4 linked regions of the Elephas maximus indicus genome follow. The protein of the gene in region 1 purifies or fractionates together with the protein of each later gene. This does not show direct contact. Links are inferred from orthologs where the notes say so. Each region holds a gene or a part of one and is shown on either strand. Other genes may lie near its edges. The genes, in order: DHX9, ELAVL1, RALY and NCBP1.

Region 1 (7,820 bases):
AAGAAACACTTCAAAATGGCTACCTTTGGGTGACTGACTTTTTTGTATCTTTAAAAAAAAAAAAAAATACCTCTATGGAATGTTCTACTTTCTACAACAATCACCTTATGTATTTTAACTCAATTTTCATTACGAATGATAGCTAGGGTAGACACTATTATATAAATACCATAATTGCTTTTAAACAGAGAAAATAACTAGGGCTTAGAAAAGTCAAGCAACTTTTCCAAGACACCCACTGTGGCGTCCTAAACGCAAACCCAAACTACTATATTTAAGAAATCAATCATATCGTATATAAAACAAACGGCTTGCTACCATTCTGATATGACTGCTAACAGATTACCTTCAAGGGTGTAAGATACACATATGTGTATGTGTACATGTATATAAAGTCCAAATACAGTCAGTATTCAGTAAATGTTTACATGCCTCCGAAGTGTCCCTCATGTCCACTCTTAGCTCTAAAATTGCCTCATCACTTCAATCCTTCTGAAGCCCAATGTTCAAAGTGCTCCCACGTAACTCACTTCTGTTCCTAAGATACTTGTACCAAATATCAAAATTAAAAAAAAAAAAAAAATTGCTTAACGCATTAGAGAGATAACTGAACGAATCCTTTTTCATACTCTAACAATGGAAACAATGTAAGGAACACTATCAGGGAGCAGTCGACCTTTTAATTTTCCCTTTGCCAAGTGCATAAATGCTTGCTATTACTTATAAATTGCTAAATATCCTCTGGTTGCCTCTCATTACTTTGTTTAAAAAAAAAAAAAAAAAGTCTGTTGTCTGAATGTAAGGGGGCAGAGTACCAAATGTGTCCTTCAGGCCTTGTTACTTGATGATGAAGTTTTCCTGAATTGTATCAAGACATTGGAACAAGCATCATACTTGCTGGCACTCCCCCTGCACCCCAGATTATTGGCACCTGAATCTGAATTACAAGCAAGATATGAGTCTGTATTTAGAACCAGAGAAAATATCCTATGATTTGTTTGCTGTGAGGAGAAATCTCTACTACCAGTGTTAAACTAAACCTCTGTCTTCTGTTCATGCTTGGTACATCTGTTAACACCTAAATCTAATGTAATCAAACCAGACCTTGGTGTAAGGTTAGATTTATTCTGTGGCCACAGGGTAATCCTGATCAGTCATTTGGTGAAGGGCCACCCTACTCGAAAAGCTGAATATACCTAGCTGTACATTCCACCCGAGATTAATTTAAAAAACAAGCCCTCAGGGTGGCTCGGTATCATGAAATAGAAGGACTACACTACCAAATTCCTTTCTTCCTAGATAGTCTCATCTAACCCCAAGATATTCAATACCAACTATATGCTAATGATGCCCAAATATGTACCGAAAGCTCAGTCCAAAACCATAATTCATCCAACTGCAGTATTAACATACTCATTTGAATGCTTACTTTGCAACCCAAGAGGAAAAACCGAATTTTAAATTTCCTCCCCAAACTTGTCTCTATCTTTCCTTCCCATTTCCATAACGGCACCATCATCCACCTCTTTCATCACAATCTAGGAGTCATCCACTCCTCAGGAGTATCCACAGCAACCCCTTTGAAAGCCCTTACTATGTGCCACAGTATCTTAGAGGATCATCTTCATGAATTTATATAATCCTACAGAACTGCTACTGCTACGAGTCGGAATCGACTCAAGGGCAATGTTTTTTTTAAAAAACAGCTCTAGAACCTTGGTGGCACGGTGGTTAAGAGCTCGGCTGCTAACCAAAAGGTCGGCAGTTCAAATTCACCAGGTGCTCTTTGGAAACGCTATGGGGCAGTTCTTCGGGTCTCTAAGCGTCGGAATCGACTTCCCAATGGGATTTTTTTTTTAATCATTATTCCCCTTTTACAGGCGAAGACACTAACACAAAGGATAACTTACCCTAGAAAACACAACTAGTAATTGGAGCAGCCAGAATACCAAGCAAGGTTGGCAGTCTGACTCCAGATGTGCCATCTGCCACCGTTATGCAATTCTGCCTCCAAAATGTCTCCAACCCATTCGCTTCTCTCCATCTTTCCCTGCCAGCACGATTGCACACCCAGAGTACTGCAATAGAGTCTTAAAATGGCTTCCTTTTCCAGTGTTGCTAAAATCTATTCTTAAATCCTTCTCGCCACACTCCAGTTACGTGGCCTTTCTTTTTTCAGCCCCTTTCCAATTTCTGGCTTTACGGCTAACTAATCCCTTCTGCAGCTCTGCTTTGCCTCCGCATCTCGATGACGCATTCTCGGCCTTCAGTTATCAGCTCAAAAGTCCACTTCGTCCGAGACCCATTTCCCTGCCACACTATCTCAAGCAGCTCTCTGCCTTTACACTCTGATTACTATTTTTTACAAAAGCCTGCAAATACTCATTTTTGTATCGCCTGCCCCTCCCCGCAACCTCTCGAGGGAAAGGCAAGGATTCTAACTTGCTTACTGCTCCATGAGAGTGCCTGTAGGATAGCAACGAATATTTGCGGCACGAATGAATGGCGCTAGGCCTTGCCTGGGGTCTCCGCCGGCTAAGAAGTAGACAAGTCACCCCCCTCTCCCTTAGCGGCACAGCGCCACCACCGGCGTTCGAAGGCTGATGGAGGAAGCGGGGGTTGCGCGTTAGAGGCTGAAGGGAGAGCTGGGCGGAGGACTAGCGGCCCACAGCGCGGCCTCGAACTGCGCAAGCGCGCCTCAGCGAGCAGCGCACACAATCCGCAATCCGGGGACTCGCAGGGCCGTTCGTCCCTTCCCCCACCCGCCGCCGCCACCCGCGCTACGCAACAAAGCCAGGCTGCAGTGCCGCAGGGCCTCTGGGCCAGCCGCCCCGCAGAGTGGAAAGGATGGGAAGTGTATCTTCTCCTTACCAGTCTTCGCCTTCTGGTGCCCGAGAGCACAGCGCGCTTAGGGCTGCCCGTAACTCCGGCCTTCCACAGAGACGCCTGCAGAGCGCACCCCAACCAGCATGGAGACGGCGGCGAAATGGCTCCGACCGTCGCGAGAGGGGCGGGGTTAGTGCACGCACGCATGCGCAGAGGGCGAGCGTGGGGGCGGGACGCCCGGGTGGGGGCGGGGCGGGACGCCCGGGTGGGGGCGGGGCGGGACGCCCGGGTGGGGGCGGGGCGGGACGCCCGGGTGGGGGCGGGGCGGGACGCCCGGGTGGGGGCGGGGCGGGCCTGCTGCAGCCTCGCGCGGCGTTCATCTTACCGCCTGGGAGCTTGCTGCGCTTAGGGCGCCATTGCATAGCTGCTAGTTTTAATGCTTTTGAATATTTTAGGGAGGGGACGGCGGGAGGTGTTTAGCTTTTTAATGCAACAAGATGTTTCCCAGTTTATGTGATAAGGGCCTCTGGTGAGAGAGACGCCCTTCTTAGACAGAACTGGAAATTTTAGTGTTTATTTCATTGGACTGTAGTGATTAAATAAGAAGACAAAGGACGAGGCTTAACTCAGTACCTGGCACATACGTATAAAAAATAGGGGCTCAATAAATGGTAATGAAAGTTACTAGTGATTCAGATACTCTGAATGTGAACATCCCCTGAGAAGGAAATAAGCTCTATGAAAGCTGGGACCTTCATTCATACGACCCAAATGAATAAAACCAACACGGCTTAAATTGAATATCCTCTTGTCTTTACAGTCGTTAGAATAATTTATATCCTTAACTACATAAAACCCAAACCAACCCACTGCCATCAGTAGATTCTGACTCATAGCGACACTATAGGGCAGAGTAGAAATGCCCCAAGGGATTTCCAAGATTTTAAATCTTTACGGAAGCCAACTGCCTGCCCCATCTTTCTCCCGCTGAGCGGCCAGCAGGTGGGTTCAAACCATCGACCTTTTTGGTTAGCAGCCAACTGCTTTAACCACTTCACCACCAGGGCTCCTCTTGACTAGATACAAAAAAAAAAAAAAAAAAAGGCCCATTGCTGTGGAGTGGATTCCATTCACAGAGACCCTATAGGACAGGGTAGAACTGCCCCATAAAGTTTCCAAAGAGCAGCTGTGGATTCAAATTGCCAACCTTTTGGCTAACAGCCAAGACTCTTAACCATTACACCACTCATGAAGGCAACAATACAAAGTATTTTTTTTTTTTTTTGCTGGGGTTGTTCTGGAGACTACAGACCAATCAATAATACGAGAGCATCATACCTATCCATCCTTATTTTTCACCTCTTTCATGACATTTTTTCTCTTAACCCTTCTAGTTTATAGTGATCAATTCCTTCTTTAAAACTCTCTTGCACTTACAATCAGAACAATACAGTTTAGCATTTATTCATCCTTTTATTTTCCTTATGTGAATTGAGAATCAAATCATTGAAAGACCTTAATCTTTTCTTTCTTTTGTATCCTTCAGCGTGCTTAAGCTGCAGGTGTTATTGATACTTATTTATGCTCTTAATAAGGAATCAACAAGCATAGATGGATTGCAAGTGTTTTGTAGTAGATAATGAACACAGCAAAAGTGCCAACATATTTCATTAAGTGCAAATAAAATTTTCAGAAGTGGATCTTTAACTTTCAGGGATTAAGGAGAATTTTGTTATTGACTTGGTTCTTAGTTTAGGCTTTGCACCTGAGACCCAGAGCTCCCCAGGGACTGGATCCCATAACTGGCATTACCATTGTAGGTTGCCCTGGCAACTGGCACCTTCTAAGATCTTCATTTGCAGATGAAACCTGAAAGCACTCAACTGGCCCAGAAGTCCAGAGAGTGGCTGGATTTACACTTAGATGTTCTATCTAGGAGACTGCAGAGATTAGCAAAGCAGGGTAGGAATTTTTTTTTTTTTTTAGCTTATAAGAAAATAAGTAACGTTCTTGCTACCTAAGAGTTTGGAACTGAGGCCACAGGTCAAATAATGAGAGGTCTGTTTCAACTGGACCACTTAACATTTCACATTTACCTTTCTGGCTAGAAATAAGTTTAGAAACATTGACTTCATTCCTAAGTTTGGTAGATGCAAGGCGTAGTTTATCCCTTGCACTAACAATTCAGTGTTTGGTCCTGGTTCCAAAGAGGCCTGAGGCCAGTGAGTGGAGGCTGATCAAACCAAGAGGAACTGCTTGAGGACCTGATGCTGACTAAACCTCAGGAGGCATGAACAAGCAATTTTCAGAAGAGGAAAACCAAAAGGTTACCAAGTGTACTCAAGGTGGTCAAAAACATCAGTAACAATAAAAATGCAACTAAAACAATATCACAACCTGCCCATTAAAAACTAAAATTAGAAAAGTGAACAACGTCAAGTGTTGGTGGTGACATGGGGACTGTTCTGCACATAGAGCTTTCAACTATACACAGGCCAAGCTGAAGGAACTCACTCAATAATTCATTTCGTTAATCCTGGACCATCTAGTTTTTTTTTATTGAAGTATAATTTAGACACAGCTGATAAGTGGTGGCGCTGGGCCTTACATTCCCTCAGCCTGGATCTAAGGCCATACTTACAACCATGAAGCAATTCTACCTCCCATACAACCATTTTATACTGTTTGCCACCTTGTACCATACTGAAGCTGATTCTTTGTATCAGGAGGTCCCTGGGTTTATATCTTAAGGATAACATTGGCTAAGAGGTATTGTTAAAGACACATAGTAAGTGGACATAAGGTTTTGAGATTCTTGATGTAAAATAGTCTGGTGTCACTCAGTTAAGCTCCAAATTCTGGCTCTGCCACAGACCATATGTAACTCCACTCAAGATATTTAACCTCTCTTTGTCATGGTTACCTCATTTTAAAAATGGAAAGATGCTATATCGTTATCACTTCTAAAACCTCAAAAACATTTTTGTATCTCTGGAATTAGATGGCATGTTATGCTTTGTCAGTGTTTTTTCCTTTCTTAGAGGTATGTAAAATAACGGTGTTTTACAATCAATAGCATCTTAGATTTGATGAAATATCAGTACTACACCATAAAGTAATTCTTCTTGTTGTGTGCCATTGAGTTGACTCCAGCTCATAGCCACCCTATAGGTTTCAGGAGAACTGCCCCATTGAGTTTCTCTCACTGAGCCACAGGTAGGTTTGAACCACCAACTTTTTGGTTAGCAGCCAAGAGCTCAACCATTGTGCTACAAGGGCTCCTTATAAAGTAATTATAACAAATGAATATTTTACACCCTCACATATACCAAAAAAACCAAACCCATTGCCATCGAGTTGATTCTGACTCTCAGGGACCCTACAGGGCAGAGGAGAACTGTCCCATAGGGTTTCCAAGGAGCTGCTGGTGGATTTGTACTACCAACCTTTTAGTTAGCAGCTGTAACTCTTAACCACTGTGCCACCAGGCACTTTCACATATGTGATAAATATTAGTCTTTACACCTTACACATGTGATATTCTTTTATACATGTTAAATATTTAATCAAAAATACTTTAAAAGGTGGGAAAGCTTATTCAAGGATACATGGGCAAGCCTCTGCTTTCTCCCCAAGGATGAAGATGTAGCTCTGATGATGTTGAGTTGGTTGAAGAATCAATATAGCCTTATATTTTTAAATATTCCATTAAAACACATAAATTTTTAGGGCAAGTCCTTTGTTTTTTTAATGTTTTTTTTGTTGAGAATATACACAGCAAAGCATATACCAATTCAACAGTTTCTACATGTACAATTCAGTGACATTGATTACATTCTTTGAGTTGCACAACCATTCTTACCCTCCTTTTCTGAGTGGTTCCTCCCCCATTAACCTAAAATTACTACTCCCTAAATTTCCTAATCTTTTGAGCAGTTGTTGTCAATTTAATCCCATAGAGGTCTTAAAAGAACAGAATGGTCAAGGCAGACATCCTTCACTAGTTAAGCTAAACTATTGTTTGGTTTTAAGACTTCAGTGGTTATTTTTGGTTTAAGGTTTAAAGATTATCTCAGGGTAACAGTTTCAGGGGTTCATCCAGCCTTTATGGCTCCAGAAAGACTAGATTCCATGAAAATTTTAAATTCTGTTCTGCATTTCCTCCCTTTTGATCAGGATTTTTCTATAGAATCTTTGAACAAAACATTCAGTAATGGTAGCTGGGCACCATCTAGTTCTTCTGGTCTCATGGCAAAGGAGGCAGTTGTTCATGAAAACAATTGGTCACACTTTCCATTTCTTCCTCCTATTCCTGAACTTCCATCTTCCTCTGTTGCTCTAGGCAAATAGAGACCAATTGTACCTTGGATGGCAGCCACTTGTAAACTTTTAAGACCCCAGGCATACTCAACGAACTAGGAAGTAGAACAGAAGCATTAAACAAGGAACCGTATTACTGTGACGGAAAAATCACATTGATTAAGACTACGGCTGCACAGGCAATTAATGTAATTGCTGTCAATAAGCTATACACCTGTAAAAAGCTGAATTGGCAAAAACTATGTGATAGATATGTTTCCAACAACAGCATCAAAAGGAGCAATTGCTGAGGCTGCTTATGTACAACCAAAACCTCATGGAATCTGGTTTCTTGGTTTGAAGGTGTAAGGTCATGGTTAAGGGCTATGGTTGCTAACCAAAAGGTCAGCAGTTCGAATCCACCAGACACTCCTTGGAAACGGCATTGGGCAGTTCTACTCTGTCCTATGTGTACTGGAAACCCTGGTGGCATAGTGGTTAAGTGCTATGGCTGCTAACCAAAGGGTCAGTGGTTCAAATCCGCCAGGCGCTCCTTGGAAACTCTATGGGGCAGTTCTACTCTGTCCTGTAGGGTTGCTATGAGTCGGAATCGACTCGACGGCACTAGGTTAGGTTAGGTACTCTGTCCTATGGGTCACTATGAGTTGGTATCGACTTGATGGTGATGGGTTTGG
Region 2 (7,081 bases), on another chromosome or scaffold:
GGGTGACAGGTAGTAACTGCACTTCTCTCACCACTGAGCTTTAATTTGATTCAAAAACTGAATGGGGTAGGAACACAAGGAACAGCTGATGCTGGTGGATGGGGGTAAAGGAAGCGTGGGAGTCTGAGGGGGCTTCAAGTCCTGAGTGGGCACTGCGCTGGGCCATGCAGGCAAGAGGAAGAAATATCCAGGAGGAGGAGAGCAGTCAGTGGGAGCAAAAGGCCAACAGGGTCAGAGTTTGGGGTCGGGGCAAATGAGGTCCAAAAGGAAGGGAGGGTTAAAGTGTGAAACACCTGGAATCCCCAGCTCAGGGCTCACGACATTATCTTGTAAGCCACCCAAAGACGTCAAAGCACTTATAATTATGTTTTTCCACCCAATGACTTTTAATTGGGAATGATGTGATCAGACCTATGTTTTAATATGACAACTCCTGCTACAGCGTGGATAGAGCGTGGATGGAATGCAGGAAGATAGATGGTCACAGTGCGAGAAGCAATAAAGCAAGGGTCAGGAAGAAGGCATTTTCATAATTCCCTCTCATATCCCACTTGCTGGTCCCTGACCTCAGACTCAACGTATCTCAACTGAAATTCTGCCCCCGCTCAAGACCAGCCGTCAGCATAAACATTATTTGCTTCCACATTTAGAGATGTTCGTGTGTCTCAGCCTCTTACTGGACCCAAAGGTCGTGAGATTTTATAACGGGTTCCAGCAGAGCTTTGCACACAATTGATGCTCAATGACAACTAAACGCAATTCCTGGAAACCCTGCCTCTAGGGCTCTCATGAACCCTTGTGAATACAGGTAGTCCCGGACTTATGACGTATTAGAGTTACGACAAACTGCACTTACCATCAACAAACTGCACTTACCATTGTCTGTCGTTCTGCTTTTTTTTGCACATATTATTAATGTGTACTACATACAACGTTGCAGCACATAATTTGCTGTTGTTATTCTCAGGTGCACACTTGCAGACATTCAATATTATGATTTACAAGGATACTGATAATAAAAGGCAATAATGATGAAAACTTTTAAAAAAATGAAATATTCGACATACATCGGAACTGACTTACGACAGAGTTGTCAGAACATAACCCCTGTCATAAGTTGGGGACTACCTATACAAGAGCAATGAAACCCTGTGGTTAAGAGTAAGAACTTTTGAGTCAGGGGCCCGAGTTCAAATACTGGTTTGGCCATTTTACTGAGTGAGATTAGTCATATCAAGTGACTCAACTAAGCCTAGGTGCTTTCATTTGTAAAATGGAAATTATAACAGTACCTACCTCACAGGCTGGAGATAAATGTCCACGGAGTCTTAAGCACACAGTACATTCTCAATAAATATCAGCAATTATTTAGAACGTCATTTATTCAGTACCTACCATGCACAGGCCAGGCACAATGCTAGGGGCTTCTCAAACTGTTTTCTCAAATTTGCACAAGAATATTCTTGTCCTTCCCATTTTACAGACAGGGAAACCAAGGCTCTCACAGTTCAGCTTATCCAAGCTCTTGGGAGCCTTGAACACCAGGGCATAAGAGTGAAGGATGGGGTTTGAGGGACTCAGTGGAAGATCATCTAGTCCAGTGGTTCTCATCCTGGGGTGGTTTTGCCCCCATGGGGATTTGGCTATGTCTCGAGGCATTTCTGAGCCTCATAACTGAAAAAGAAGGGAAGGATGTTATTGGCATCTAGTGGGTAGAGGAGACCTGGTGGCACAGTGGTTAAGCACTGGGCTGCTAACCAAAAGGTCGGCGGTTCGAACCCACCAGCCACTCCACCGGAGGAAGATGTGGCAGTCTGCGTCTGTAAAGAATTACAGCCTTGAAAACCCTGTGGGGCAGCTCTACCCTGTCCTATAGGGTCGCTATAAGTCAAAACTGACTCGACGGCAATGGGTTTTTTTTTTGGTGGTTAGTGGGTAGAGGCCAAGAATGCTGCTAAGCATCCTATAATGCACAGGACAGTGTCCCACAAGCAAGAATTATCTGGCCCAAAACGTCAATAGTGCCCTGGTTAAGAAACCCTTCTCTAGTCCCATCATCCTCCCCAGCTTCCCACTTCTTGTAGCATAAGCCATCGGCTCCCACTAGAATACTTTCAGTCAGGGCGACTCTTCCTCCAGGGGCAGTGCAGAAGTTCTTCCTCACCTGTCCTGCACACAGTAGGTACCAGAACCCATTTTAATAAGCCTAGTAGCAGAGGGTACCGGAAAAGGAAGCCAGAGCATCCATGCCCCATTGTTCAAATGCGTGCAGTTTGTGTTTTCAACACACATTTTACAAACCCGAACATCCCACGCCCCATAAACAGCTTTGTTAGAGATGGCGCTCAAAAAATACATTTTCCTGGGACTCCCGTACACACCGAAAGGTTTGCACACTTCAAAAAAGACCCCAGATCGGTCGCTGGCCTCTGACAACGACCACAAAAGAATCTGGAGGATTTCCCGGGGGAGCGAGCTCGGAGGCCGCGGGCGACCTCAGTGCGCAGACCGCGCTCACCCAACTCCCCCGCCTCTGGCTTCACTCTCCCGCCCCCGGATCCCGGGCTCCCAAGGCTGCCGGGCCCCAGGCCCAGCGCTCGGCCCCGGCCGCGGAGCCTGGCCGCCAGGCGCGTGCCCACGCCGTGTACCCCCTCGCCCGCCCCTCGCGGCGGCCGAGGAATCCGGCCCGGGCTCTGTCGCCAGCGCCCACACCGGCCGCCCCCCGCACACCCGCGTCCCGCGCGCGTTCCTTCCCGGCCCGGCGCGGCCTGGGCCTCGGCCGGTGCAGGCCCGCGGACGCCCGGGGCCCGGCCAGGCGAGCTCAGGCCTGCCGCGGCCTACCTCGCGGGGCACCGCGGAAGGCCCCCGCCTCACCTGGGCGCGGGCGGGCAGGCCCGGGGCTTCTCCGGGGCGGGCGGGCGGCGGCGGCGCGGCGCTAACGGCTCCGCTCGGCCTCGGTAGCGGCGGCAGCGGCGGCGGCGACGGCGACGAGGCGGCGGCTCCTCCTCAGCGCGCACGACCCGCTCCGGCCCGCGGCGCGGACACGCCCCCCCGGCGCGTGCACCCATTGGTCAGCTCCAGTCACGGCGCGCTTCCCATTGGCCGGCGCAGCTGTCGCGGCCTCCCAGGCGCGCGGGGAGGCGGAACTTCCGGTCGGCGCCGCCTGCGGAGGGCTCGGCGGCCGGCGGAGACGGGGGCAGTGGAGATGGCCGCGGAGGGGTGAGCTGAGGGTCCAGCCCCGCGAAGACCGGGGCTGGCAGAGAGTGGTGGTGGGTCGAGGAGCGGCGCTCCTTGTCGGGCGTCCATCGTGTGTCCCGCTCCTGTTTACCCCGCTTCCCTGCAAGGTAGGAACGGTCATCGCACCAAAGGGAAAGGGACAGGTCCCGGGTTCGAATCCTGACGCCGCGTTTTCGCGCTACGTGCCGTTGGGCAAGGGCTGACGTCATCTCACCTGGCCTCAGTTTCCTTAGCTGGTGGGGCGAGGAGGCGGGGCCCAGGATGTTGTTAGAGTTCCAGCAGTGTGGGCTGTGAGAGCTAACGGGTTCCCAGAGGCTCCGGCTAACATTCATTCTTTAAGATTTTATTGAGTGCCTAGTATAAGCCAGTCACTGTATGAACTCTCATTAGGCTGACATTCTAGACGATTGCGTCTAGTAGAAATATAAAGGAGCCACAAATGCCAGCCGTTTGTGTAATTTAAATTTTCTAGTAGTAACGGTGGCTCAGTGGTTAATCGCTCGGCTGCTAACTGAAAGGTCAGTGGTTGGAACCCATCAGTTGCACCGTGGAAGAAAGATACGGAAATCTGGTTCCGTAAAGATTTACAGTCTTGGAAATCCTATGGGGCAGTTCTGCTCTGTACTGTAGGGTTGCTGTGAGTTGGAATTGGCTAGAGGGCAGTGGGTTTGGCTTTTGTTTTTCTTATTGGTTTAGTAACCATGTCTGAAAAAGAAAAAGAAACATAGTAATTTTAATAATGTGTTTTCTTTAACCCATTGTGTTGAAAATATTGTTATTTTGATATGTAATCAACATAAGAAATTATGAGGTCTTTTTTTTTCCCACGTTTTCAAAATTTAGTGTGTATTTACATTCACAACACAGCTCAAGTCGGACTGACAACATCTCAAGGGCTCAGCCGCCACATCTTGCTGGTGGCTACCTTTTCGGACCACACAGTGCCAGATGAAGAAACAGAAAAGAAACAAAGAGGGGAAAAGTGGTAAGATAAAAAGTAAATCGGGAAGGGAAATGGGGAATGTCAAGGTTGCAATTTAAAAGAGGGTGGTTGGGAAGGCCTCAGTATGAGAAGATGGCATTTGCAGGAAGACCTGAAAGAGCTGAGGACACTGAACAGATAACTACACTCTTCATTGTTTAGTGCAACACTGTCCAGTAAAGGCTTCTGCGATAATGAGTAGGTCCTATACCTCTGCTGTCCAGTTCTGTAGCCATTTGGTTTTTGGGTGCTTGACATGTGGCCAGTGGCACTGAGGAACTGTTGTATCCCCAGGTCTAAGCGCCTGCACCTGGTGCATTCTGGGTGATTAAAAAGCATTGATGGTCTAGAAGAAACAATACCCCAATAGCAACAAGGACACTTAGAGCCCAGATCTTGGTTTCTAATACCAATTTCCAACTTAAATTGAATTAGTTAATTTTAATTAATTAAAATGTAAATACCCACATAGGACTAGTGTTTCTTGTAGTGTACAGCACCAGTTTAATACAACAGTAGCGAGTACTCTGAAATGGATGCATACTGCATGTTAAAAACTATGTGTGTTGTCATGGATTGAATTATATCTCCCCAAAAATGGGTATCAATTTGGCTGGGCCATGATTCCTGGTATTTTGTGGTTGTCCTCCATTTTGTGATTGTAGTTTTATATTAAAGAGGATTAGGGTGGGATTGTAACATCTGTACTAAAATCACATCCCTGAGCCAATTGTAAAGGGGGTTTCCCTGGGTTGTGGCCTGCACCACCTTTTATCTCTCAAAAAATAAAAGGAAAGGAAAGCAAGCAGAGAGTTGGGGACCTCATACCACCAAGAAAGAAGCATCGGGAGCAGTGTGCTTCCCTTCGACCTGGGGTTCCAGCGAGGAGAAGCTCCTAGTCCAGGGGAAGATTGATGAGAAGGACCTTCCTCCAGAGTTGAAAGAGAGGGAAAGCCTTCCCCTGGAGCTAATGCCCTGAATTTGGACTTCTAACCTATTAGACTGTGAGAAAATTAATTTCTCTTTGTTAAAGCCATCCATTTGTGGTATTTCTGTTATAGCAGCACTAGATGATTCAGACATGTGTTCTCCCCCGTCATCTTTTCAATTGTTATATGAGATGGTAGCTATGATTGTCACCATGATGAAGAATGAAGTCCTTCATTTGTTCATTAATACTTAAAAAATTATCATTAATAATAAAACCCCCAAACCCCTTGTTGTCAAGTCGATTCTGACTCATAGCGACCCTATAGGATGGAGTAGAACTGCCCCATAGGGTTTCCTAGAAACAGCTGGTGGATTCAAACTGCAGACCTTTTGGTTGCAGCCGAGCTCTTAACCACTACATCATCAGCGCTCCATTATTAGTAATAGACTTTATTTTTGTAGGACAGTTTTAGATTTACAGAAAAGTTGAGAATTTATATAGAAAGTTCTTATATACTTTATACCCAGTTTCCTCTATTAGTAACATCTTACCTTAATATGTGTTGAAAGTAATGAGATAATACCAATACATAACTGTTAACTAAAGCCCTAGCTTATTTAGGTTTCTTTAGTTTTTACCTAATGTCCTTTCTCTGTTCCAGGATTCCATCCAGGATCCCATATGACGTTTAATTACCATGTCGCCTTAGATTCCTCTTGGCTGTGGCAGTGCCCATATTTTTGATGACCTTGACAGTTTTGAGGAGTACTGATCAGGTATTTTATAGGAACCTCTCTACTGGAATTTGTCTGATGTTTTTCTAATGATTAAGACTAGGGTTGAGGGCATTGGTAGTTCAGTGGTAGAATTTTTACCTTCCATGCAGTAAACCCAGGCTAGATTCTGGCCAGTGCACGTCATGTGCAGCCACAACCCACAACTCAAGACGATGTGTTGCTGTCTGGCTGCCTTAGTTATCTAGTGCAACTATAACAAATACCACAAGTGGATGGCTTTAACAAACAGAAATTTTTCTCTCACAGTCCAGGAGGCTAGAAGTCCGAATTCAGGGCACCAGCTCTAGGGGAAGACTTTCTCTCTTTGTTGGCTCTGGGGGAAGGTCCTTGTCATCAACCTTCTCCTGGTCTAGAAGCTTCTCAGCACAGGAACCCCAGGTCCAAAGCACATGCTCCACTCCTGGCACTTCTTTCTTGGTGGCATGAGGTTCTTTCCTCTCTGCCCGATTCACTCTTTTATATCTCAGAAGAGCTTGGCTCAAGATACAGCTTAATCTTATAGATTGAGTCCTGCCTCATTAATTTAACTGTCTCTAATCCTGCCTCATTTTTAATCCTGCCTCATTAACATCATAGAGGTAGGAGTTGCAAAACATAGGCTAATCATATCACATAACACAATGGTAGATGGTCATACAATACTAGGAATTTTGGCCTAGCCAAGGTGACACACATTTTGGGGGAATACAATTCCATCCGTAACACTTGCTGAACAGATTTCAGTGGAGCTTCCAGACTAAGATGGACTAGGAAGGAAGGCCTGGCAATCTACTTCTGAAAATCAACCAGTGAAAACCCAGTGAATCACCACGGTCCTATCCACAACTGATCATGGGGATGGCACAGGACTGGGCAGCGTTTTGTACCATTGTGCATGGGGTCGCCATGAGTTGGGGACCAACTTGATATCAGCTAACAGCAGCAATGGGTTATTGGGAGGAAGACCACAGAGGTAAAGTGCCATTGTCATCACATCCTATCAAAAGTACACACTGTCAACATTACTTATGACCACTGGTGTTAACCTTGATCACATAGCTGAAGCATTGTTTGTCAGCTTTTCTCCACTATAAAGTTACTCGATTTTTCCCCCTTTGCATATTGCACACCTTGGAAAGAAGCCACTTTGTGCAG
Region 3 (7,525 bases), on another chromosome or scaffold:
CTCTGGGGCAAGTGGGGTGAACATCTATTACTTAAACTGCTCAGAACCATGAATTCTGTCTTAGTTTGCTGGTGCTGCCATAACAGAAATAGCACAAGTGGGTGGCTTTAAAGAACAGAAGTTTATTTTCTCACCCTTCAGGAGTCTAGAAGTCTGCATTCAGGGTATTGGCTCTAGGGGAAGGCTCTTTGTTAGCTCTGGGGGAAGATCCTTGTCTCTTTCAGCATTCCTTGGTTCCTTAGCAATTGTCACATGACATCTGCAATGGACAGAATCGTGTTCCCCCAAAAATGTGTTGTAAATCCTAACCCCTATACACTTGGAGGAGCCCTGGTGACGCCGTGGTTGTTAAGAGTGTAACTGCTAACCGAAAGTTCTACAGGGTTGCTATGAATTGGAATTGACTTGACAGCAATGGGTTTTTTTTTTTTTTTTTTTTTTTTAATACGTGGATATAATCCCATCTGGGAATAGGGTTTTCTCTGTTATGTTAATGAGGCCATATAAGTGTAGGGTGTGTCTGAAGCAAATCATTTTTGAGATGTAAAAGGAGCTGTTTCAGCGAGAAGCGAACAAGAGCAAATAGAGGGGAAGATTCATGCCACGTGAAAATCACCAAGGAACGTAAGCTGAAAAGAGACAAGGACCTTCCCTCCAGAGCCGACAGAGATAGAAGGCCTTCCCCTAGAACCAGAAAACTGAACTTGGACTTCTCTAGCCTCCTAAACTGTGAGAAAATAAATTTCTGTTCATTAAAGCCACCAACTCGTGGTATTTCTGTTACAGCAGCTCTAAGAAACTAAGACAACAACTATCTTTCCCTTTCTGTACTTGCTTGTGTGTCTGCTGCTAACATAACTCAAAAGCGATATGCCTAAGGTTCTGTATGGTCAGTGGCAAAAGGCACGGAGGAATACCTGCCTCCCGGGCTAATGCACTTTCTGGTGGGAACAGCACTACCTCCTTCCTGCCTGCCTGATTGGGAACCCTCTCTTGGCCCCTCCCTGACTGGGGTGAGGAGTAGCCAGCCCTCCTAGCATTGTCCCAAGTCCAGTATTACAGTATAGCCAGAGTTTAGTGCATCAGTTTCCCTATCTGTAAAATGGGACCTGGAATAGAATGGTAATTCTCAAACCATGTTCTGTAATTTGTGGAGGGACCACTGCATAAGGAGGGTGGTTCGTGGCTGGGTGGGGAGACTAGCAAACAGGACTCTGGGTTCCTTTCCCTCACTTCATGCAGAGCCGCCCCCTACCCCAATCTGTTTTATGCATCGCCTTTCTGAGAAAGGTCTTGCTTAAAAGAAGGCTCTATAGCTTTAAAGAGTTTAAGAACCCCTGGATAAGGTGTCTTTGAGGACCTTTTCAGTTCTAATAGCTCATGATTTTACAAGTTACAGAAAAAAAGAATAGCTTTCATGATGATATGACTGCTATTTTGAGTGTCTGCTCCTATGTCAGGCACTATGCTAAGTGCTTTACATATACTTGTAAAAAAAAATTCCTTACAACACTGGGATGTAGGGAATTAATCATCCCCGTTTGGCAGATAATGAAACTGGGACTCCAGAGTAAAGTAATTTGCTCAGGATCACACAGCTGGTAGGTAGTGTAGTAGTAGAGAGGGCTTTAACCCAAACTGACTAGAAGGACAAACTACCAACTCGGGCAGAATCCAGGTTGGAGATATGTCCTTTGGCCTGCACAGTGCTTTTTTACTTCTTAAATTTGAATGAGTTGCCCACATTAAAAAAACCAAGCAATTTCATATTAAAAAAAATGGATTTAGGGGTTTTTTGTTTGTTTGTTTTTAAGAAAAGTGGAAGATCTAGTAATACCGGGAGCCAGTCTTCCCACATGGCAACAACTGTTTGGGGCTGAGTAGCAACTGCCTCCTTTAGGAGGGGCACGAACTCCCCCACTTGCCACAGCCCTCACTATACCCCACTACTTACACCTTGCCCACTTGTCTCATTTTTTTTTTATACTGGCCCTTTAGGCATTTGAGTTTACAACCCCTGCCCTAATGACAAGTCTGTGTCTTCAATGGCTTTCTCCATCTAGATCCCTCTGCTTCCATCTGCTCTTTTTCTAGCTCCTGCTGCTTCTCCCCTATTACCTCTCTCTCATTTGCCCCTTCCTCTTTATTCACCTGCCTTCATTCTTTGTCTCATTTGAAGACACCTGTTGGATCCCTTCATTCTTTCCCCCATCCCCTCAAACCCATCTTCCTAATCTCAGCACAGGTATCTCTACAAACATCATTGTCAAATCTCTGAAGGGGGATGTGGACCATTTAGAGGGAGCTCAGAGGGCAGAATTAATTCCAATGGCAGGGAAATTAAGTGGTTGAATGCACGCCTCAGAGAGCCCTGGGTTCAAATTTGAATTCCTTCACCTATCATGTGTGGGACATTGGTCATGTCACATTTTCTTATTGTGAAATGGGGACAAAAACAAAACCAACCTTGTAGAATTGTTTAGAGGGTTAAACTTAATGTTTTAAGTCTGGCACAGAGTAGGGGAGACAGACAAAAACATGTAGAAAGACAAATAAGAGACATAACTTTGAGATGCAATAAATGCCATGAGGAGAAGGAACAAGAGGCCAAATGAGAGAACATAGATGGGGAGTTCAGGCAAGGCCTGAGGTGATATTTAAGCAGAGATCTGAAGTATAAGAAAGAGCCGAAAGTTAGAAGAGGTGGGGGAAGAACGTTCCAGACCTTGCTCTCAGTATCCCCATCTCTCTAGTTTGATTACTTTTCCTTCTGGGAACAGAAGTCATCAAATAACACAATAAATTATAACTGCTGGTCTGGCAGAGCCAGGCTCTCCATTCAAACCGCTCTGAGAAGGAAATTCTGTTTCTCGGCAACAGGAAGGCAGGTTTTGAGGGGAGAGATGTGAAAAATACAATCAGGAAATCATAGGCCAGGTTGGAGGAGGCACAGATTTGTCTGGCCAGTTTTTAGCCTTGAGGAAAGTCTATAGCCGATGACGGAAGGACACTGGTCCTCTTGTGCTCTCAGAAGACCCTTCTGACTGTTCCGTGGAGGCTGGAACACTAATCCAGGTGAGGAGGGATCCCGACAGAAGAAATGTTTGAGAGAACCACCACCCAGATCATATTATAAAACATTTCTTGCACCCCAGAAGGATAAAAAACAAAACGAAACACACAAACCAAACCTTTAGCTAAGTCAATTCAGGCTCATGGTGATCCCATCTGTTACAGAGTAGAGCTGTCCCATAGGGTTTTCTATGGAAGCAGGTCACCAGGCCTTTCTTCTACAACACTGCTGGGTGGGTCTGAACTAACAACCTTCAGTTAGTAGTCTAGCGCAAACCGTGTGCACCACCTATGGACCTCCTAAAAGGGCAACCCACTGAAAAAAAGACCCCACCGCCGTGGAGTTGATTCCAGCTCATAACCACCCTCTAGGACAGAGTTGAACTGCCCCATAGGGTTTCCAAGGCTGTAAATCTTTAGGAAGCAGACCGTCATATCTTTCTCCCGCGGGACGGCTGGTGGGTTAAAGGGACTTGAATTTAATCTTCCAAGGTGGGGGTGGTACCTCATTCCCAGACCCACCCTCACCGCAGCCTCTCCGCCCAGTCCTGGCCTACACAGCGAGGGGTAGTCTTTACTTAGTCCAAACACGTGGTTCCTTGTAAGTGTAGAAAAACCTGATGCTTCTCGATTTCATCTCTCCCGGATCCCTTGAGCATCACCCCCGACCCACCGGTTTAGGCCCATCTTCAGGCCCCGCCCACCTCAAGCACCACCCCCTTGGTCCTCCTTTAGGTCTCACCTCCTTCCGGCTCCTCCCCAGAGTGGGCTCTATTGGCCCCTCTCCTTCCTGCTCTGCTTCCGGGCCCGCCTCCAGTCCCGCTTCAAGGCTTCCTCTCTTCGGGCTTTCTCTTCAGCCCCGCCCCCGGCCTCCTCCCCTTCTAAGGGCCCCGCCTCTTTCCAGCCCCGCCATAGCCTCCCTCCACCCTCACTCCTCCTCTGGAGACGGTCTCCCTTTGCCCCGCCCACAGCTCCTTCTTTCAAGCACTGTCCTGGCTCCCGGCTCTCCGAGGCCTTCACTACCTGCCTTGACGCTTCTCCAGTTAGGGCATCACCACCCTCTTAGCCCCGCCCCGCCACCGGCTCCGTACTGGTTTAAGCGAATCCTCCTTCCCTCTCCTAGCCCCGCCTCTTCAGGCTCCCACCTCATTCCCTCCTCCCTGTCAGGCTCCGCCCTGAGCCCTCCTTCCTTTTCTCCCCGCCAAAGCTCTGGACCTTTCCAAAGCCCGGCTGAGCGGGTGGGGAGAGCACAGGCGCTGGGAGAGTCGGGCTGTGTCGGGGCGGGGCTGCGGACTCCACGTGCGAGTGTCATTCATTCCCTTCCCAGGAGACACAGGCGGGGAAAGGGAGGGTCCAGGGCCGGGGCCGGAGCGGCGGGCGGGGCCACGCTGAGGGAAACCTCTTTGGGCGCCCCCACCAGCGCGCGCCTCAGTGGTGCCGGCCGAAGGAAGGACTTGCAGCTGCGGGGCCAGCGCCACTGTCAGTGCGGCGGGGCGCGCGAGCGGTGCGGGCGCAGGGCGGGCTGAGGCGAGAGAAGCTGAGGGGGCGGTAGCGGCGGCGACTCTCGTGCCTGTGCTCAGCCTCCTCACGCCGCCTTCCTTTCTCCCTCCCTCCCTTCCTCCCCCGAGTGCGGCGGCACCGCCTCCTTCCGCGCCGCGCGGCTTCCTCCAGGGCTCTCGGCGCGGGTGAGTGGGGGCCGCGGGCGTCTTCTCGGGGGTGCGGGAGGGGGATTCCTCGCTCCTTCTCGGTCGCCCTCCTCTTCTGGCCGGCCGCTCTCTATTTTTAGAAACTCTTTTTCCGACAATCCAGGGAGTCCCGAGAGCCCGAGGAACTCCAGGCCCCCTTTGCCCGCACCTCCCCCGGCCGGGGCCCGCCGCCCCGGGCCGCCCTCCCTCGCCCGCTCCGGGCCGCCCGGGCGTTCCCTGCCCGCCTCCTCCCCGCGGGCCGGGTCTGGGCCGGGAGTTGGCGGGGTGGGCCCGCGCCCGCTCGGAAGTTGGAGTCTTTTGTGCTCGCGCCCCGCCCCTCCCGGCGACGGGCGGAGGGAGAGGAGCCGAGGCCGCGCCGGAGAGGCCTTGGGCGGGTTCGGCCCTGGCTCTGGCCCTGGCCTCCGGCTTTTTCCGGCTTCCCTTCCCGGGCTGGGCGTGCGGGCTCCCGGAGGCGCAAAAAACTGGTCCTGCTTCGCTCCCCACGGGTCTGAGCGCCTCGGCACCCACCTCTGCTGGTTGCCTGTCTCGGGCTTGGAGGGGAACAACAACGGGCCCTCGACCTGGGGCCATGCAGCCCCCTCGAGGCCGAGCCACAGTTTGCCCCTCCGTGAAATAGGGGAAAAAATGAATCTCGCATCGCAGGTTGTTTTGGGGAGTAGGGGGAACGGATATATGAGGGAAGTGTTTAATACCAACAGGTAACATTTAACGAGACTTGACCAGTGCCAGGCCCCTTGCCAGGCATAAATTTTACTTCATTTAAGGCCCACAAGTCTTTTGGGGTTGCCCCATTTTACAGAAGCAGAATTCAAAGTGTAGAGAACTTAAGTAGAAATAATTTGCTCCAAACTACCCAGTTAGTAGCTACGGAAATGTAAGGCAATGGTGCTGATACCTGTTATTTATTTCCTGGTATGAGCTTGTGTAATCCCGTAGTGCAGAGGGGATTATGACCGGGTCAAACTATTAGAAGCATAACTGGGTTTTCCCCGAGTCCTGGGCCAGTGTCCTATACTATAAAAAATAGGCATGAAATCCCATTCTGGGACTACCAGAAACTCCGTGGGAAAGGTCAGGATGAATTTCTTGCTCGTGTTGCAGCTAGAAGTTGGTGGATACAGGAGATTCCAGACCTCAAGCATAACTGAAGTTGCTGGGGCTTCGCCTCAAGGAAGGCTTACATCTTTATAAATAATGAGGTCCGTCCTTTATTTTGTCGATGGTATGCTCCTTCACCATTGTCTTCCCTCCTCCCCCTAACCTTGCACATTCTCTATATAGCATTTAATGGATTTTAGTTGAGGGGAGCAGGGAGTGGAGGCTTAAGTCATCCGCTTCAACTCCTAGCCTTCAAGCAGGGTTTTATTTTCAGATAAGGCCCAGAGGGGTTAAAGTGAACTAAAATTAACTTTGGGAAGTGCTGAAGTTTTCCAGTATGTTTGATTCTGGGTGTTGGGAGTCTGAAAATCAGGCAGGAGAGTTCCGGGGCCAGGTCTGTAGGAGTCTTTTAGAAGAGAGTTTTATCCTGATGTTCCCATTGGTCCTTTGGAGTCTGATGGGTCGGCAGTGCTCTCCCTCAGAGGTTCTGAATTTAGGAGTCATGGTATGTAGGAGCTGGAGGCGTTCTCACAGACCATCTTGTCCAACTTTCTGATCTGCCTTTTCCCCCTTCCCTAGTGACTGAACCTTGGGAAGGGGAAGTAAGTTGTCTAAATTCACAGATGGCCTTAGTGACAGAATCAGAACTAGAATTCCCAGTCCAGTCATTTTTATTTATACTATACCGTGCCGCCTATGAGAGGGCTTGAAACCAGTAATCAGGCCTGAAGTAAATGGAAATCCCAAGGAAGTTGTGTAGTCCTAGCCACTCTCCATTGCTTCAGGTTGAACATTAAAAGGAGGCCAGGTTTTGTACACAGGTGTACCAGTTCTTATAAGTGGCTGCTTTTATTTTTATAGGACTTCTATGGTTTATAGCACTCTTCTGTAACCATTATCTGATTTATAATCCATTTCTGTGAGAGGATTCACAGAGCTTTGTTTATATCATCTTTTTAGTATAAGGAAATTGAGACTTGGCAAGGTTAGGCCACTTGCCTTAAGTTACAGAGTTAACAAGTGATGGAGGCAGGACATGTCTCCTGGGCAGTGGATTTGATGTGGCATCATGAACTGAGCCACTCATCATGGCTGTCAGCTCACAGGGGGTTATGAGCAAATGGCTGTGAAAGTGCTTTGTACTAGTAGTAATAACAGCTAATATTTGTTAAGCACTTACCATGTATCAGGCATTGTACTAAGGACTTTCTGTGGAGTATCTCATTTAGTTCTCAGAGTGATAGTATGAATTAGATACTATTATTATCCCTGTTCTACAGAAGAAGAAACAGGCTTAGAGTTACACGATTTGCTCAGGGCCATGTTAATTGCCAACTGGCAGAGCCAGGGTTCTAACTGCAGACAGTATAACTTCAAAGCTGGCACTCTTAGTACTTCCCTTAACCACAGGGTGCTCTGTAAATTCAAACTGATTATTAGTCCTCGTCTGCAGCATGTAGCACACAGCCCCAGAGAGCAGGTACCCAGGCCTGGTTGTACCTCTGGTTAAACTTCTTCCCTTTTTCCCCCACTTTGTGGACTGAAGCTCCTTATCACTAAAGCCTTTTTTTGGAGATATCTGCTGGCCTCTTTTGTGTCTTCAGAAGAGACCTCCTACCCTTGGAAGTACAGCCGGAATGTTCCTTAGA
Region 4 (6,942 bases), on another chromosome or scaffold:
GAAAACAAGGCAGTCTCTTTGAGTTCAGGCTCCTGAGGGTTTCAATGTAGTAATTTCTCCCCCACAGCACAGTCTCTATCCCCTATACTCAATTCTACTTTTCTTCAAAGCATTCATCACCATATGCTCCATGATATTTTACCTAATCGTTTCTGTCTGTAGCCCTATACAAGAATGGAGGCTCTACCATTATGTTATCTACTGAGGTACTGCCAGTATTTAGAACAGTGCCCAGTACTGTTAAATATTTATTGAATAAATGATTATACCCAGCCGGACACACGGAAAATCAGGGCTATCAGTGGGTGATGAGAGCTGATAATAATCCAGAAATGCTCAGCTATATCCATCTAATTCTGACTTTAGCAATCCCTAGTTTATTTTTAAAATCCCGTTGCATCAAGTCAATTCCGACTCATAGCGACCTTATAGGACAGAGTAGAACTGCTCCATAGAGTTCCTAAGGAGCACCTGATGGATTCAAACTGCTGACCTTTTGGTTAGCAGCCATACCACTTAACCACTACGCCACCAAAATATCCTTCTATAATATTGAAGCTTTTAATATTTGTCATTTAAAAGTATTAGTAGAAGCTTAATTAAAAAAGCATTCAAAATATTTGATTCAGGTCACTGTCTAAGGTAAACTCTAATAATCATTACCCATACTGTAGCAATTTACAAAGTTCCCAATTTGATGTACTATAAGGAGGAACTATAAATTGTCCCTCCATTACTAAATCATCTGCCATAGTGAATTTTGCTTAATTCCTTGTTTTCCTTCTTTTTGTCTGTACTTACTTACTTTGAGGTTCTTGCAGCAAGGTCCAAACGTACAGTCATTTAGTGCCAGCCAATGTTAAAAACAATGTCACTGAATTATACACTCATTTTCCCTCCCTTTTAGGGGTGCCTTAGAAGGGAGAGGGAGAGGAATGGTAGAGAAACACGTAAGAACAAAGAAAATGGGAAGAACAAAAGACTCATGTTCTCTAAACCCTAAGCGATGACTTCAAACATAATACTTTTGGATTAGTCAAATTCTAAGTACACAAAAATTGTAGTTTTTGTGTCCTGTATGTATGTTCCTTGGAAACTCTATGGGGCAGTTCTATTCTGTCCTATAGGGTTGCTATGAGTCGTAATAGACTCGACGGCACTGAGTTGTTGAGATTAGTTTATGCATGTTACACAAGAAGACTCCATGTGTTAAAATCAAAGCATGCAGTACAATAACACCTGTGTAGTAGAGAGAGCCCTGAACTTGCTTTAGCTGGTGTCTGGGCACTTCTTGCTGTGTCTCCATGTTAATTACACTAAGTCTCTGTACCCTTGGGTGTCTGAGGAGGCTGGGCCAGAAAATCCTCTCAAGCCATACCTTAGTAGCAATCTGGTATTTTCAGATTTGTGATTCTGTCCTCACCTCTAACTGCCCCAATATTCAAGAAGAAAATGTACTGAATTAAAAATTTTTGTTCTTTATTTTTTCCTTACGTTGTGGGCATCTGCCACTGCTTATCACCACTTAAGCCTTAACAGATAAAGTAAAAAGAAAAAAAAAAAATCATTACGAGCCATTTGTTTCATGAATTATCTCATTTAACCCTCAGAAAAACCAGAACAGGTAAGCAGCGTTGTTCATATTTTACAGATTAAGAGTGAAAAAAGGTTATATAACTTGGGCAAAACCCCAAAGTAAATCGTGGGGTCTAGCTTGTAACCTATACCCCCAATTCCAAAGCCTGGCCTCTCAACCATTACTCTACACCCTCTTCAGCAAATAATGCACTCAAATATCAATAACAGACTTAATCTTTCATGTCTTTCTGTCTGTGGATGTGTGTTCTTGACTGATTTTCATAATGCTTATGTGAATGTAAGCAACTTTTGCTGTTTTTTTTTACTAGTAAAATTCTTAAGTTTTTACAACGGCCACAACGTGACCCCCATAAGTATAACCACCCAAACGAAGACGGGAACCCCAACTCTAAATCTCTAAGAGCTCTCCTGCTAGTTCTCCGGCATGCCATGGAAATATGTTTATAGTCAGCTTAAAATCTAATGCAATACTATACATCTGCTTATTAGTGAGTAACCTCTTGGGTGAAGACACAAAATCTCTTCTCTCCAGCTCGAAAGAAGGCAAATCAACGGATGTACAGTAGAGGAGTAGAGCTCAGACTGCAATTCACCCGATCTCTCAGTCACTGCTTTGTTCCTTTTCTTCAGTAAAGTCTTGAAAAAGCTATTTTCAGATAAAGCTTTGAGGATCAAAACGAGCGCCTGGTACCAGTGGGTACCGCTCTCTGAGACGGCAGCACAGACATGATGTCGAGGGCCAAATTCTGAAGAGTCCCTATAGACCAGGGGTTCACCAAGCCTCATTCCCCACCATCGGTCGACGACCAAAGGCGCTGCGGCTGGCACGAAGCTTTCCCGAATCCGCCCAGCCACACCCCCGCCCCGCCATCCTCCGTGGCTCCGCGAACGCTCCCGGGAGAGAAGGGCTTGCCGTTCCTTCCCTCGAGACTCGAAAGCCAAGGAAGGCAAACCTCGGCTCCCACCGGAGCGCGCCCTGGCGGCCAGGCTCTAGGCACTCACCATCGTTTTCGTCGCTGTGCCGCCGCCGCGACATGCCGCACGCCGGTGCACTTCAGAACCGAGACGCCGGGCAGGAGGCACGGCAGGAACCGTCCAGCAGCCGGCCGGCGCGAGGACAGCGGCGAGGAGCGCGGACCCACCGGCGCGCAGGCGCAGTCGCTCGCTCCAGCTCCCGAAAACCCAAGGAGGGTCGGCCGAGAGGGTTCGGCGGGCTCGGATCCGGGAGAGACGGCGTCTAGAGGCAAACCAGGAGCCGACGTGTGGTCTGCACGCAACCACCCCCCTCAGCCTTCCTCCGCCTCCCGGCCGCTTCCTCCTCCCGCCAGTCGCTCTATGTCCTTCCGGGGCCACGCACAAACCGCCTCCGCTTCAGCCAGTCAGAGCCCGCCGGCCGCGAGCCAGGCATGTAGGCGGCGGGCGGCTGGGACAGACTCTCTAGTCTCAGCCTCAGCTTCAGCCCCGCCCCCGGGTCCTCTCAATGGTTTTCCCGGCGGCCCTTTCGCTAACGGCCACCAAGACTTCCGGAGCGAGGTGACGTCCGAGCGTTCGTCCCTACGTAAACACACAACCGGGGTTGTAGGTTCCAAGTGCAGTGAGTGACCATTGCTAGGCGGACACAGTTCAGTGAAGAAAGACCCAAGAATAGATCCGACTGGCGGGTACGTGCTCATTTTACCCCCACTTCCCGTCTTGTGCCTCGGGAACGCTGGGCGGACAGATTAGGCCAGGCCCACCGTGCGGGGTGGGGCCGGGATGGGAGCGGAGCCGCACGTGTCGCCCCCTACGATGGGAGGAGCGGCCCTGACGCGAGCCTCCGGTTCCGGGGCTCACCCTCTGGCTGTCATCTTACCTCTCACCTCGACGAGTGGCTGGTTTAAGGACGAACAAGTTGATCGTTCTCAGTATCGTTTTCACTAGCTATTGGCGACTGTGTATGTGTATATGAACATCTCCATCCCTGACGTCTCTCCGAGCACCACACTGGTTTCTCTGACTGCCTCGTCCATGGCCATCTGAAATTTCACAATCGAAAATAGAAGTCTTGTTTCATCCTCCTGGCCTAACCTATTCCTCCTTCAGGCTTACCCATTTCAGAAAATGGCACCATCCATTTACTTAATCCAAAAATGTAGGCTGGAGTCATTCTAGAATTCTCTTTCCTTCACTTCTGCATAACAATCTACCCGTATCTCCTGCTGGCTCTACTTCCAGAACAAATCCAGAATTGGTCCACATTTCTCCACTGCTGCCATTTTTTCTTCATTTGCTGCAAGCGTCATCTCTTGCCCTGATGAATGTCTAACCCGACTGGCCTCCGTGGGTCTTTCCTTGCCTGCAGTCCTTTCCCCCCAGAACAGCCGGAAAGATATTCTTAAAATGTAAATCAGACCATGCTATTTCCTTGTATAAAACTCTCCAGTGACTTTCCACTGCGAATTGCAAACCATGGCGTACACTCTTCTACCTTCTCATCACTGTGCGGCAACCACCCTGGCTTTATTCCCGTTCCTTCAATAAGTCAAGCTTGGCCCCACTTTAGAAATTTACACTCAACTTTTTCTTTTGCCAGAAGGTCTCTGCTCCTAAATCTTTGTGTGGCTAACTTCTTGTTATTTAGGTCTGAGCTCAAACATCAGGCTCTTAGTAAGATCTTCCCTGGCTACCTAATATAAGTTAGCTGTCCCTGCCACGAGATCATGCGTTGCTGTTTTATTTCATTCATTCAGTCATTCAACAAATACTGTATTTAGCACTTACTGTGTGGCAGACGGAAACCCTGGTGGCGTAGTGGTTAAGTGCTACGGCTGCTAACCAAAGGGTCGGCAGTTCAATCTGCCAGGTGCTCCTTGGAAACTCTATGGGGCAGTTCTACTCTGTCCTATAGGGTCACTATGAGTCAGAATCCACTCGAGGGCACTGTATTTTTTTGGGGGGGGGTGTGTGCCAGACATGGCCACAGGGTGGTACAAACAGTAAATGAGCTTGGCTACTAACTGAAAGATTGGAGGTTTGAGTCCACCCAGATGTGCCTTGGAAGAAAGGCCTGGTGATCTCATTCTGAAAAATCAGCTATTTAAAACCGTATGGAGCATAGTTCTACTCTGACACTCATAGGGTTGCCATGTGTTGGAGTCAACTCGATGACATCTATTTGGTTTGGTTTATGTACCAGGGACTGTTCTAGATGCTGAGAATATAGTGGTGAACAAAGGAAAACCTCAGCTCTCTTGGAGCTAAAATTCTAATGACCCATTTACCGTACAGTACCATACCCCTTGCCATCGAGTCGATTCCAACTCATAGCGACCCTATAGGACAGAGTAGAACTGCCCCACAGGGTTTCCAAGGAGCACCTGGTGGATTTGAACCACTGACCTTTTGGTAAGCAGCCATAGCACTTAACCACTACACCACCAGGGTTCCCATGACCCATTTAGGCATGGGCAAAAAGACCAGTGAAGTCTGAATAGGAAGCAAGGGGAGAGTAGTAGAAAATAAGATCAGAGAGGTTGTGGGAGGGAGAAGTATGGCAAAGTCTTTGGACTTTATCTGCAAAAACCGAGAAGCCTTGGAGGGTGATCTTACTTATTTTTTATAGGTATCACACTGGCTGCTACAGTAGGAGGGCATTAGGCTGTTGGAATAATTCAGGCAAGAAATGATGGTGACTTGAACTAGGGTGGTAATGAAGGTGATGAGAAATGGTCTGATCTGTTTATATTTCAAAAGCAACGCTGATAGGATTTTCTGAACAGAATGATTTCTGAATAGGATGATAGTGTGAGAGAATTAAGACTCAAGGATCATCCCAAAGGTTTTTTGCCTGAGTAACAGGAAGAATAGGATTGTCTTTCACTGAGGTGAGGAAGACTGGGAAGAGCAGGTTTGGGTTGGGAGGAGTACATAAAGAGTTCAGTTTTGAACAGTTCCATTTGAAAAACGTGTTAGACATCTAGCTAAAGCTATCCAGTAGACGGTTGAATCTGTGAATTTGGAATTCAAGAGAGAGGTACAGGCTAGAGATAGAAATTTGGGGTCATTCAATATGTAAGCCAAAAAACAAACAGATACAACTCTTGCCATCAAGTTAGTTCTGACTCATAGAGACCTTATGGGACAGAGTAGAACTGCCCAATAGGGTTTCCTTGGAGCGACTGGTGGATTTCAAACTGCAGAACTTTTGGTTAGTAGCCAAGCTCTTCATCAGTACGCCACTAGGGCTCCGATGTGTGGTATACTAAACATAAATTTTTGGTTGTTTCTCTTATTTTTCTTTCTTAGTGGATGTATTTACAGAAGTAGAGAAAATTATATAATGAACCCTCATGTACTCATCATCCAACTTCAGCAGTTATCAACTCAAGGCCAGTCTGGTTTCACCTATGTTAATGTGCTCTTCCCCCCAACCTCCACCATTATTTTGAAGCAAATGTAGTTGTTAAGACTTTGGGACTAGGTGAGATCACCTGGGGAGTGGGCACAGATATGCAAGTTTAACAGTTAAAGGTTGGGATGACTAGGAGGATCCAGCAAAGGAAACTGAGAAGGAGTGGCACTTACCACTATCTGGTATTCACGTTTGTTTATTTTTTAAAATGTTTTATTGTTTTAGGTGAAAGTTTACAGAGAAAAGTATTTTCCCATTCAACAAATCGCATACACAGTGTTCCACACATTGGTTGCAATCCTCGCAGTGTCAACGCTCTCCCCATTTCCGCCCTGGGTTCCCCGTTTCCTTTCATCTGGTTTTCCTACCCCTTCCTGCCCTTTCATCTTTACTTTTGGGGCATATGTTGCCCTGTTGGTCTTGTATAATTGTTTATTCTATGGAGTGTATTCTTTTTGGGTGTTATTGTTTATTTTTTAGGCCTGTCTATTCCTTCGCTGGAAGGTGGTTTCCAGGAATGGCTGCAGTTCCAAGTCAGAGGGGTGTCTTAGGGCCATAGTCTTGGAGGTCTTATGGTTATTTGTATACTTATTTATTGTCCTTTGCCCCTTTCTAAACTATAAAGTCCAAGTGAGTAGAGACTTTGACTTTTTCATTCAGAACTTCATCTCCAGCACATAGCTAGACACGCAGGAGAATGTCCACAAATAATAGTTAAAGTGTATAAATAAATGAAACTAAATTAGGTGGTAACTGAAAGAGATCATTTTGGGGTGGTAGGAAAGGCGTGTGTGAAGATCCTGAACCAGGAGAAAGCAAGGGTTGCTTGTGGAACTAGGCAAAGGTCCAGTGTGGCCGAGCAGAGTATGTGAGGGGGAGTGTTGCCTGAGATGAGCCTAGAAAGGTAGGGTGACTGTTTCAGGCTTTCTGAGGAAGAAGTGGCACTGGGGTGG

Evidence for each region.
Region 2: the proteins of DHX9 (region 1) and ELAVL1 purify together in Homo sapiens (affinity purification with mass spectrometry; 3 studies listed by BioGRID and IntAct, with this or other methods). This does not show direct contact. The link is inferred for Elephas maximus indicus from reciprocal best matches to the Homo sapiens genes DHX9 and ELAVL1.
Region 3: the proteins of DHX9 (region 1) and RALY purify together in Homo sapiens (affinity purification with mass spectrometry; 3 studies listed by BioGRID and IntAct, with this or other methods). This does not show direct contact. The link is inferred for Elephas maximus indicus from reciprocal best matches to the Homo sapiens genes DHX9 and RALY.
Region 4: the proteins of DHX9 (region 1) and NCBP1 purify together in Homo sapiens (co-immunoprecipitation; 3 studies listed by BioGRID and IntAct, with this or other methods). This does not show direct contact. The link is inferred for Elephas maximus indicus from reciprocal best matches to the Homo sapiens genes DHX9 and NCBP1.

What each region holds. Positions count from the first base shown.
Region 1 is NC_064842.1:46,177,928-46,185,747, reverse strand, and holds the start of DHX9 (ATP-dependent RNA helicase A), read right to left. Parts: upstream 3,002-7,820; 5' UTR 2,872-3,001; intron 1-2,871. UniProt on the Homo sapiens protein: Multifunctional ATP-dependent nucleic acid helicase that unwinds DNA and RNA in a 3' to 5' direction and that plays important roles in many processes, such as DNA replication, transcriptional activation, post-transcriptional RNA regulation, mRNA translation and RNA-mediated gene silencing.
Region 2 is NC_064821.1:12,746,028-12,753,108, forward strand, and holds the start of ELAVL1 (ELAV-like protein 1), read right to left. Parts: upstream 3,006-7,081; 5' UTR 2,875-3,005; intron 1-2,874. UniProt on the Homo sapiens protein: RNA-binding protein that binds to the 3'-UTR region of mRNAs and increases their stability.
Region 3 is NC_064843.1:35,559,955-35,567,479, reverse strand, and holds the start of RALY (RNA-binding protein Raly), read left to right. Parts: upstream 1-4,503; 5' UTR 4,504-4,757; intron 4,758-7,525. UniProt on the Homo sapiens protein: RNA-binding protein that acts as a transcriptional cofactor for cholesterol biosynthetic genes in the liver. Binds the lipid-responsive non-coding RNA LeXis and is required for LeXis-mediated effect on cholesterogenesis.
Region 4 is NC_064827.1:47,538,638-47,545,579, reverse strand, and holds the start of NCBP1 (nuclear cap-binding protein subunit 1), read right to left. Parts: upstream 3,004-6,942; 5' UTR 2,636-3,003; coding exon 2,602-2,635; intron 1-2,601. UniProt on the Homo sapiens protein: Component of the cap-binding complex (CBC), which binds cotranscriptionally to the 5'-cap of pre-mRNAs and is involved in various processes such as pre-mRNA splicing, translation regulation, nonsense-mediated mRNA decay, RNA-mediated gene silencing (RNAi) by microRNAs (miRNAs) and mRNA export.